Oryctolagus cuniculus: one gene and its partner. The protein of the gene in region 1 interacts with the protein of each later gene in a biochemical or structural test. Links are inferred from orthologs where the notes say so. Each region holds a gene or a part of one and is shown on either strand. Other genes may lie near its edges.

Region 1 (5,723 bases):
AGAGAGGCCAGACTGAAGCGAGTGGGGACCTGAGTTTGTGGTGGTCATCTCTCAGTGTCCAGGAAACAAAGGAATGGCCCCTCTACCAGGACAGGCAGGCGGGCCAAGCCATGGGCCTTCCTCTTTCCGAGTAAGGGTTTTCTGTTGCGGCTGGGCCTCTGGGTGGCCCTGTTGCATGACCTAGCAGAAATAAGACCCAATGCTAATAGGAAATGTGTCCCCAAGCAGACACTGACACAGAACACAGTGCAGGTGTACTGGAACTCAGCATTTTATTAGCGAAGAAGCTCGCCTCAGGCTGGCAGAGGAGAGGCAGGGATGGACAGGACCAGCGCCCACCTGGGGGTTTCCCGGACATCAGGCGTTCCTCCATTTGTTTTCGGGGGAACGCCCTCATGGATGAAACCCCCAGAGAGCAGCAGGCCACTGGCAAGCAGCCAGGGTAGGGGGCGCCCTAGGCACCGCCAGACCCCTTGGACAGCAGGGCTTGGATGTCGGGCTCGATGTCGATGGTGGGGAAGCGGCGGCTGTACCTGCGCACCGGGACGCCATCGGGGCCCACCAGGAACTTCTCGAAGTTCCAGGAAACGTCGTTACGGCACACCGGGGACCAGGTGATGAACTTGGGGTCGGTCATGAGCGCAGTGGGGTCGTCGCTGGGCGCCGGCAGGGCCTCCCGCAGGAAGGCGAAGAGCGGGTGCGCCTTGGCGCCGTTCACCTCGCACTTCTGGAAGAGCATGAAGTTGGGCTCGAACCCGCCTCCAGGCCGGACATACTTGAGGGAATTCAGAATCTCCTCATTCTTGGCGTTCTCCTGTAGGAGAGAAGGGCAGCTAGGACCCGCGGCCGCGGGAGGGAGGGCATGGAAACTTCAAACCGCAAACAAGGAGGTTTTGATGAGTCACCAGGAAGTGGCCTTCGGAGCCCAACCCCGGTGTGCGCCTGCATTCCAGTCGTGACGCGCTGGGGAAGGGAAGGGAGCGAGGGCCCGCCCCGCCAGCGCCCCTGACCGCGGCTGCGCGCCCCCAGCCCCGCCAGCGCCCCCTACCCCCGCCCCGCGCACCTGATGCCCAAACTGGTTGCACGGGAAGCCGAGCACGACCAGGCCCCGGGGCCCGAGGCGCTCTTGCAGCTCGTTCATCTGGGTGTAGTCCCGGACCGTAGTGCCTCAGAGCGACGCCACATTCTCAATGAGCAGCACCTTGCCCCGCAGGGAGCCCAGGTTCACGGGCTCCCCGCCGGCCAGCGGGTGCGCTGAGAAGGAGTACACAGACTGGGCAGCCGCCGCCATACGAGCCGCACACATGGTGTGAGACAAAGCGGAGCTTCCGAAGCGCGGAGCCGGGGTGTTCGGCAGCGCCTCCTTTTAACTGGTCGGCGGCAGGGTCACGTGGCGCAGGCACTTTTTCCGGGCCCGAGGGTCCCGCCTCATCCGGCCTCCGCCTTCCCCGAAGGGTCTCGGCCCCTCCCGCAGCTGGGGACCGGCGGGAAGGTGCGGCCAGAAGCCAAGGTCCGACCACACGGGCCTGGGTAACAGCGCCGAGGGCCCCCTGGAAGCTGTCCTAAAAGCTCCTTAGGGTGTGAGCCTTGGTAGACGGGTCCAGCAGAGCGCCCTCTCCTCTGCCGTGTTCCTCTTGCAGCGTGTGCCCTACTGTCGCCAGCTGTCCCGCAGTTAAGACGGGGTGAAGCTGCAGTGGGCAGCAGCTCTGCGCGGCGGGGCTCCCTGGCGCTGGGCAGGAACGCCAAGGGCCACCCAGGTCACCAGGCTCTGCGCGGTGAGGCTGCCAAGAGCGTGCTCCCATTCGGTCCCAGTCTGCCAATGCCCAGTCGGCCCCAGGGCTGCACTGCCTTGACACAGGTTTTGAGCAGTACAATGCCCTAAAGCCTGGGGCTCGGGTGTCGCCCAAAACCCTCACCAGCACCGAGAAGCCGCCCGGAGTGCGTTCCCACCCACTCCCGACGGTGAACTTGAAAGTGGCACAGAATAATCACGTCCGTGTTCTCTGGGGGGGAAGGAACCCGAGGGGTGGGCCAGGGTGAGAGGGCGGAGTCCTTCGATCCTCCTGCCCTCAGCCCTGGAGAGAGCAACACAAACACCAAGACACTCAAGTTTGGAAAACTGCCTTTATTCTATTAGTAGTTGGAAAACGTAACTGGCACACAGTAAAAGTCTAGTCGGTGGAGAGCAGAGAAGCCGGTGCCGCCTCTGAGGTGGGTGGCTCCTCTTGCAGTGAGGAGAAAGAGCACTGTGAATCAGAGCCAGACCCTGCAGTCCAGGAGAAAGGCTATGCCACTTTCCACAGTTGAAAACCAAATTCCTACGTACTTAACCCAGCTCTGGAGAGGGGCACTGGGATACGTGGGGCTGAGGTGGGGTGATATGGCCATCTTTTATTAGAGAAAGTGACAAAACGGGAATTTAAAAAATCAATTTTCCATCTGACTTTATTTCCAAATACACTTTCTTTTTTTTAAAAAAACCAATACACTTTCTGTGGGGATGACAAATATCAGTATTAGGAAATCCAATTATACAAAAAATACTACATCTAGTCTGGGTAGATATATTTATTTTTGGTAACATACATTAAGTGGCACTAATTACACAGTAACTATAAGGTAACTAACATGAAACCACAGAACTGTAACTCTGCCACAGCTGCAACGTCTCGGACCTTTCTGGCTGAGCACATTTTAAAAAAAAAACTGGATGCCCACCCCAGAGCTATGCCGAATGCCATCTTTGAAGGAGTCAAGCTCTGAGGTGCTAACTCAGCTTCCTTGCAGCTGACAGATGACAGGCAGGACATGTTAGTTATAAAGTAGTTACAGCCTAATTCACAAAAGTTACCAACTGTTTCTCTTTCTAGAAAGAAGCAAGAAGTTAAGAAATTCCTTGAATTAGCGCCTGGTGTGTCAGGTGGGAGTGCAGAGAGGGCTGTTAGAGCAGTGTCAGAAGCCCCTGGCTGGTCAGACGGGCTGGACATCGTTAATAATCATGGTTGGCTTCTAAATACTGGTAGCAAGATGACTTCTGATTTGTAATCTTAGGTAAATTATAGATAAATGAAAAAGGCCAGTAATCATACACTAAGATTAATAAACAGCACTTCAAAATTAACCGCGTGAGGGTTGTGCTTGCAGCGAGGTTTCACAAGACAAGGCACCCGGATTTTTTCTTCCCACGTCTGGCTTGCAGAGCCGCTCTCGTGGCCATTTCAAAAACCTCCCTCACTCCATCTTTGGTCTTTGCTGAACACTCCATGTACCCAAAGGCGCCAATCCTGTTTGCCATATCTCTGCCCTCTTCAGGTTTTACTGGCTCCTGCAACAAAGAAGAATGCTGTCAGCTAACAGTACTAAATACACACAGTAAGCAGTTAGAGATTCAGCTCAAAGTTCTAAGTTGCCAAAGTCCCAAATTTAAACTATCTTATGAAATTGTGACACTGAAATGCAGTGACTACTCCTTTTCCAATATAAAATCTTATTAAACATGCTTTTTTGGGAAGAAATGAGGAAGAGGGAAGAAGTCAGAGGAAAGCTAAGGAAAGAATCACCGATTAAATTACTCAAGCTGCCTATCCAGGGCAAGCACTGGTCTTCCACAGAGGACTGAATGCCATGGAGAGACTGAGACTGTCCTCCCATTCAGACCTCAGCGGGAGAACTTGGTTTGAAGACCTCAACGTTCCTCCTGCTCTGGAGGAAGCCCTGCCATTAGGCCTCTTGGAACTTTTAATTCCCATTTTATCTGAAAAGCAGAGACAGGATCTTCAATCTAAGAGTTCACTCCCCAAATGTCTGTAACTGCCAGGGCTCCCTCCTAGTCTCCCACATGGGTGGCAGGGGCCCCAATACTTAAGCCATCCTCTAAAGGCTTCCAGTGTGTTAACAGGAAGCTGGATCAGAAGCTGAGCCAGGACTCCTACCAGGCCCTCCAACATGGGTATGGGCAATGTAAAGCAGTGCCTTACACGTTGTGCTCAACACCCAGCCTGCCACCTGACTAGATTCTAAAAAGCCAAGATGCTACCTCCATCATCACTTTAATGAAAGCATTAGAGTCTTCTGTCTGGACTCCATGCCTTGGGACTTCCTGCTTCTTTAGTTGCTACTACTTTATCTTTGGCCTCACATGTGCCAAAACAATAAATGAAGAGGCTGATGAAGTTCCTACCTCAGAAGCCTTGACTACTTACTGGGATGGTTCCTGGATGGATGGTACAGTGCTACTGCCTAAGAGAGCCCATCTCATAGGAGTAAGGAGTCTTAGGGATCGATCATGTGTTAAGGTCACAAGTCACTGAGGGCCAGATGGATAGAGAGGCATCTAAAACAACCTGGCCTGTGAGGCTTTCTGCTGGATTCCCTGAACAGCCAACCCTGGGGCCCTCATTCGAGACGGCTACAGAAGACAGAGCCCGCCCCAGACCGTGCCTGCTTCATCTTGGCTAGCTCCCGCCTTGTGTGTTCATCATTCCGAAGATCCTTCTTGTTCCCAACCAGGATGATGGGCACGTTGGGACAGAAATGCTTCACTTCTGGGGTCCATTTTTCTGGGATATTTTCTGAAAGAAAAAATGCACAAATATGGGGCTACAAATAATTCCATCTTGAAGAATATCCTTCAGCTCTAATTGCAAATACTTCCTTTGCTGCTTCAGAAGTATGCTGAACATTTAATGGAATCCTCCTAGTTTTAAAAATGACAGAAAAATGCAAATCTAAGCCCCTCCCTTAAACACTGAGCCACAGGCTTTTCAAGAGAGATGGCCAAGCTCCTGCGGAGGTAGGGCCCAAGTAAGGGCTCAGAAGGCACGGAGGCTCCAGAACACAGAGAAGCTCCACAATAGCCCTAGGGAGACTTCCCACAGGTCTTTGTGGCAGACAATTCTGACTGCAGCTTACAAAAGGGGTCGCCCTTCTGGAGCAGCAGCTGGCCCAAGGTCCACATGTCATCTCTGTTTTTTATTTAAAAGATAAAAAGATTGACTTATTTATTTGAGAGATGGAGTTAGAGAGAGGGAGAGAGAGACAGACAGAGAGAGGCCTTCCATCCTCTGGTTTACTCCCCAAACGGCCAGAGCTGGGCTGGTTGGAAATAAGGGGCCAGTAGTTTCTTCCTGTCCCCCACATGGTTACAGGGGCCCAAGCTCCTGGGCCATCCTCCACTGCTTTTCCAGGCCATAAGCAGAGAGCCGGATCAGAAGTGCTGCAACCGGGACATGAACTGGTGGTGCCCATATGGGATGCTGGTGCCACCAGCAGAGGCTCAGTCCTCATTGCTCATGGACCTCCACCCTTGGATTCAAGTAGATCAAGACTGACTGTGGGCCAGCGCCACGGCTCACTAGGCTAATCCTCCACCTTGCGGCGCCGGCACACTGGGTTCTGTCCCAGTTGCCCCTCTTCCAGGCCAGCTCTCTGCTGTGGCCAGGGAGTGCAGTGGAGGATGGCCCAAGTGCTTGGGCCCTGCACCCCATGGAGACCAGGATAAGTACCTGGCTCCTGCCATCGGATCAGCACGGTGCACCGGCCGCAGCACGCTGGCCGTGGCGGCCATTGGAGGGTGAACCAACGGCAAAGGAAGACCTTTCTCTCTGTTTCTCTCTCTCACTGTCCACTCTGCCTGTCAAAAAAAAAAAAAAAAAAAAAGACTGACTGAAAACATCCAAAAGATAACCAACTGTAGCTTCTAGGCAACATGATACCAACTTGGA
Region 2 (5,634 bases), on another chromosome or scaffold:
AACTTTCTGAGGTAGCCTCGTACACTTACGAAAACGTAAACTGAGTCGGATGATGACAGACGCTGGGAGAGGAGGCAGGTGAGGCTGGCCACAGCCAGGAGGCTCACCATGTCAGGCAGTTCAGGAAGGCCTCCCTGAGGTGCCGTCCACCTGGGTGGACAGCCAGAGGAGGTGGTCTGTCTGGGGAGGGGCAAATGTGAAAGCTCTGGGTCAGGAGCGAGGGTCAGCCAGGCCAGTGCCACTGGGATGGAGGCAGAGCAGAAAGGATGAAGCCAAGAGGATGCCTGGCCTTGGAAGGCGGGAACCACCACAGCTCTTAATCAAGATGCACTCTCATGACTGGTTAATCTTCCAGCCCCGCCCAGCCTCTGTTGTAGTGGGCATGTCCTAATCAAGATGCACTCTTACGATTGGTTTATCTTCTGGCCTGGCCCAGCCTGTTATAGTGGGCATTTGGGGAATAAACTAGTGGATGGCAGCTCTCTGCCTCTCCAATTTATATATTTATATATAATTCTTGGCCGGCACTGCGGCTCACTAGGCTAATCCTCTGCCTTGCAGCGCTGGCACACCGGGTTCTAGTCCCAGTTGGGGCGCCGGATTCTGTCCCGGTTGCCCCTCTTCCAGACCAGCTCTCTGCTGTGGCCAGGGAGTGCAGTGGAGGATGGCCCAAGTACTTGGGCCCTGCACCCCATGGGAGACCAGGATAAGTACCTGGCTCCTGCCATCAGATCAGCGCGGTGCGCCGGCTGCAGCGTGCTGGCCACGGCAGCCATTGGAGGGTGAACCAACGGCAAAAGGAAGACCTTTCTGTCTCTCTCTCTCACTGTCCACTCTGCCTGTCAAAAAAATAAAATAAAATAAAATATATATTTACGTATAATTCTTTTTTTTTTTTTAAAGAAAGTTCATGAGGGAAAGTGTCACAAAGAAAGTGCTGGTCATCTTGGGCCTAAAAATGAAATACGTGTCCTTTAGGCACAGGGATGAGGAAGAAGAGGCCAGCAGTGTGGCACGACAGGTTAAGCAGCCGCCTGCGATGCCTATGTCCCATATCAGAGTGCCGGTTCGAGTCCCAGCTGCTCTGCTTCCAGTCCGGCTCTCTGCGAGTATACCCAGGAAGCAGTGGAAGGTGGTCCAAGTGCTTGGATCCACATGGGACACCCAGATGGAATCCCTGGCTCCTGGCTTCAGGAGCTTCACTTCCTGGGAAGTGAACCATCAGATGGAAGATCCACCCCTCTGTCTGCCTTATCAATGAATGAATGAATGAATGACCTTTCCAAAATGTGGCAAGAGTGTGCGCAGAGGCAGGTGTGAAACAGCACAGGCTACTGGGAGACTCGCAGTGACTGGGGGGAGGGGGCTGAGGGCATCCATCACCCACCACATCCACCTCGGGCGGCCCCTGCCCTCAGCACGCCGGTCCCCTTGGAGTGGAGCCTGGCTGCGGTGCTTCGCACGGAGCAGGTGCTGGGAAGCCTCTGCTGTCGTGTGAGACTCAGGGCCTGCAAGCCCAGCGAGATCTAAGTGGCCATCTGGTCCGAAGTTCGTAAGAGCCTCGCTGTGGGGGTGCAGCGGCAAAGCCCCAGCTTGCAGTGCTGGCGCTCCCGGCTGCTCCACTCCCCATCCAGCTCCCTGTAATGCATCCAGGAAAGCAAGGGAGGAGGGTCCAAGAGCTTGGGCCCCTGCACCCGCATGGGAGACGTGGAAGAGGCTCCTGGCTCCGGCCTGGCCCAGCCCATGTCATTGCGGCCATTTGGGGAGTGAACCAGCGGATGGAGGCGCTTTCTCTCTCTCTCTCTAACTCTAACTCTAACTCTGCCTTTCAAATAAATAAAGTAAATCTTAAAAAAAAAAAAAAAAAAAAACGCCCTCTAGGTGGTGACAGACATTTCCGGGTATCTATGGACCTTCCATATGGGAAAAGGCACACCCCACCCCCAAACCTGAGCATTCTCTCTGGGGACTACAGATAGCCTTACAACTCTTCCCATGGGCTGAGGCTGAGTCCTGTTCTAATCAGCACCTTCATTTCACAGGCAGTGAAACAGAGAGGGGTGGGCGTTGTGGCACAGGGGGCCACGCTGCTGTGGGAGCCTGCATCCATATCAGAGTGCTGGTTCCCCCACCGCCCCGCACTTCCCATCCGGCTTCCTGCAAACACGCCTGGGAGGCGGCAGGTGATGGCCCGAGTGCTGGGGCCACTGCCACCACGTGGGAGACTGCATGGACTTGCTGGCTCCTGGTTTCGGCCTGGCCTAGCGCTACCTGTTGGTTATCTGGGGAGTCCACCAGTGGACGGAAGATCTCTGTCTGTCCCTCTGTCATTCTGCCTTTCAAATCAGCCCATCGTTAAAAAGAGAGAGAGAGAGAGAGAGAGAGAGAGAGAAACACACACACACAGAGGTGACTTGCCCTGGGTTACACCCCGAACCACGGAACCCTGGCTCCCGGCTCCCGGCCGCCCCACCGCCCGCCAGGCCCTGAGCCCTGCTGACCTTGGTCTGCTTCTTCTCCGTGGCGTAGACGATGGAGGTGCAGCACACCTCGGCGATCTTGCGGCCCTGCCCGTAGAAGGACCAGCAGCAGATCTCGTCCCCCAGGACGTCCTTGAGGAAGAGCAGCCGCCCGTGGAAGCGCAGGGCCAGCTTGTCAAACAGCTCGATGTTCTTCAGGAGGTTGTCGTCCGAAGTGCTGAGGAGGGGCCGGGCCTCAGCCACTAGCTCCCTCCGCCCTCCCCTCCCCCTCCCCCGGGTTCCCAGCACTCTGGTCCTGCGGGGGGGGGGGTCTGGCACCCCCAGGGAGCTGCCTACCCTCTGGGGCCCAAAGGAAGGCGCATTTGCCGAGAGCGAGAGCGCAAGCCAGTGCCCTGAGAGGCCCTGCAACCAGGCTGCTGCCAGCCCGGCTCCATCCAGTGACACCAGGCCATTCACCTCAGCTCTCGGTGCCTCAGTCCCCCCGCCCCTCCCCCGTCTGTGAAACGGAAGTCGCGAGCACACTGTACGTCACCAAGGACTGTGTAAGTGGACATGCAGGGTGCACCCAGAGCAATGCCAGAGAGAAAAATCCGCCCTTGGCACGGCCCAGCCGTTGCCACTGCCACTGCCACCCAATCCCCTGGGCCCCAGCTCTCTGGTCCCCGGCCTGAAGCTCAGAAGTGAACATGAGCTGTCCAAAGCACTCTGGGGTGAGTGCCAGGGCAGGCGCTGCTGGAGTCCCTCTGCAGGGCCCTAAGGCTGTGTGGCTGGGGACCGGGACAGGGCCCCCCCCGCCCCCCCACCGGCTCTGCCCCAGCCCCCCACGCCCCGCCCCCGCGTCACCTGGTGTAGGAGTACTTGTTGTTACTGCGGTTGTGCAGGAGTTTCACCACGGGCTGTGGGGGGAGAGGACAGAGGGAGGGGGGTCAGGCTGTAGGGAGAGGCCCCGCCTCCAGGGCTAGGCTGTGGGAGCTCACCTTGGAGGTGCTGGCCAGGAGCTGCTGCTCCTCCCGGGGAGATGTCACAGTGGGGATGACGCACAGCGGGGACAGGTTCTCCCTTTTTTGCTGGGGAAGAAGAGGAAGGTGGTTAACGGCATAACCAAAGGTCTTTCATGCCCCCACTTAGAAGCCCTTGGGGGAAAACGCAGGCTGCTTAGTGGCCCACGGGCAGTGCTGATGTCTCTGGCCTCACCTCTACCACTGTGCCCTGACCCTGCTGGCTCAGGCCCTGTGGACTGCCGTGCGCCAGCCTGTGGCCACCATCACTGTTCCTCCTGCCTGCGCTGCGCTCAGCTGTCTGCAGAGCTGGCTCCGTGGCCCGCTCAGATCTCAGCACCGACAGTGCCTCTGGAAGGGCTGGCCCACCTCCCCACCGGCGCAGCCTCCTCCCTGCAAATTAACGGCTCACCTTCTTCACAGCACTTAGTCCTGGGCATGCTTTTTTTTTTCTTTTTTGTACATTTGTTTATGGTCTGTCTGTTCCTCCACCTCACACAGGCAGCAGGCGCCCAGCACACACGCGGAGCTCAACACGTATCTGTTGCCTGAAAACCCTGGCTGGGTGGGAAGAGGTGGAGAGAAGACCAGAACCAGAAACACGGGCTTCTTTTTCCTCTGCCTTCCAAAATCTTCATGGTCAAACCCCTCTCACCTCGCCCAACCCTGAAAAACTAAAATGTGCAAATCTAGAATTCTAGAAACTCTTACGACTTCTTCTAAAATTACTATGGAAGGACAAATATCTGCAATTATTTAGGTCAGTTTTTACACAGCAGCAAAGAGGAGGGACTGAGGCTCCTGGATGGTGAGATACACTACACAGCCACAGTGATGCGAACGGGGTAGTGCTGGTGCAGAAACGAATGAGAAACCCAGTGGACATAATAAAGAAGCATGAAACAGGCCGGCGCACGTACGAGGGCTGCTGTTTGAACAGACACCTGAGGGCTGGCGTTTGGCGCAGCAGGCTACGCCGCCACCTGCAACGCTGGCATCCCACACGGAGGGCTTGCCTGAGTCCCCCTGCTCTGCTTCCCATGCAGCTCCTGCTCACACACCTGGGAAAGCAGCAGAAGGTGGCTCACGTACTTGAGTTCCTGCCACCCAGGCGGCAGACCCAGATGGAGCTCCAGGCTCCTCCTTCAGCCTGGCCCAGCCCTGGCTATTGCAGCCATTTGGGGAATGAACCAGCGTGATGACTCTCTGTTTGCCCTGCTGTGTTGCTCTGCCTTTCAAACAACTAAACATTCAAAAATAAACAAATTCATTAAAGACGACACCACACATAAGTGCGGGTAAGTGTGGGGTGTGTATTAGTTACCTACTGCTGTTTGACAAATTCTCCCAAACTTCGAAGCTTCAGTTTATAAAGAGCATCTATTATTTCCACACTGGAGAGCCAGGAGTGGTTTAGCCACGTGGTTCTGGCCTGGTGTCCTTAAGGAAGCTGTCATCAAGACGTTAGCTGGGGCTGCAGGCATCAGAGGCACCGCTGCCTTTGCAGGATCCGCTTCTGAGAAAGCACATTCGGACAGCTGGCAAGTCCGCGCTGGCCGGGGCCAGGAAGTGCCCAATTGCTGCCACTGGACTTTCTCACTGACATGCCCGAGTGTCCAGACAGCTTTCTTCACGGCATCTAAGGAAGCAAAGTGGAGGCCTTGTCTTTTTTTTTAATTAATTTATTTTTATTTATTTGAAAGAGTTACAGAGAGAGGTAGAGACAGAGAGAGGTCTTCCAGCACTGGTTCACTCCTCAGATGGCCGCAATGGCTGGAGCTGCGCCGATCTAAAGCCAGGAGCTTCTTCCGGGTCTTCCATGTGGGTGCGGGGGCCCAACCACTTGGGCCATAGCAGAGAGCTGGATCGGAAGAGGAGCAGCGTGGACTAGACCCAGTGCTCATATGGGATGCTGGCGCCTCAGGCCAGAGCTTTAACCCGCTGCGCCAAAGCACTGGCCCCGAGGCCTTGTCTTTCATGACTTACCTTTGTCAGCCCTTCCAGTATGGAAAAAGACAGAAGGGAGTGAAGGGGACCAGAACCAGTGGGGTCCCTGGGGACTGCTTTGGGGCCTAGCTCTGCAGTCTACACTCTAGCCCTCACTGATTCCCACCTCTATCACCTGCACAATACACACTCCCTCTTTTTAAGCTCAT

What was found.
Region 2: of the proteins of RHOA (region 1) and KCTD13, one has a biochemical effect on the other in vitro, tested with the Homo sapiens proteins (2 studies listed by BioGRID, with this or other methods). The link is inferred for Oryctolagus cuniculus from reciprocal best matches to the Homo sapiens genes RHOA and KCTD13.

Annotation. Positions count from the first base shown.
Region 1 is NC_091441.1:99,886,542-99,892,264, reverse strand, and holds the end of RHOA (transforming protein RhoA), read right to left. Parts: intron 4,572-5,723; coding exon 4,441-4,571; intron 3,326-4,440; coding exon 3,152-3,325; 3' UTR 2,111-3,151; downstream 1-2,110. UniProt on the Homo sapiens protein: Small GTPase which cycles between an active GTP-bound and an inactive GDP-bound state.
Region 2 is NC_091450.1:7,315,458-7,321,091, forward strand, and holds part of KCTD13 (BTB/POZ domain-containing adapter for CUL3-mediated RhoA degradation protein 1), read right to left. Parts: intron 3,548-5,634; coding exon 3,458-3,547; intron 3,377-3,457; coding exon 3,324-3,376; intron 2,698-3,323; coding exon 2,502-2,697; intron 1-2,501. UniProt on the Homo sapiens protein: Substrate-specific adapter of a BCR (BTB-CUL3-RBX1) E3 ubiquitin-protein ligase complex required for synaptic transmission.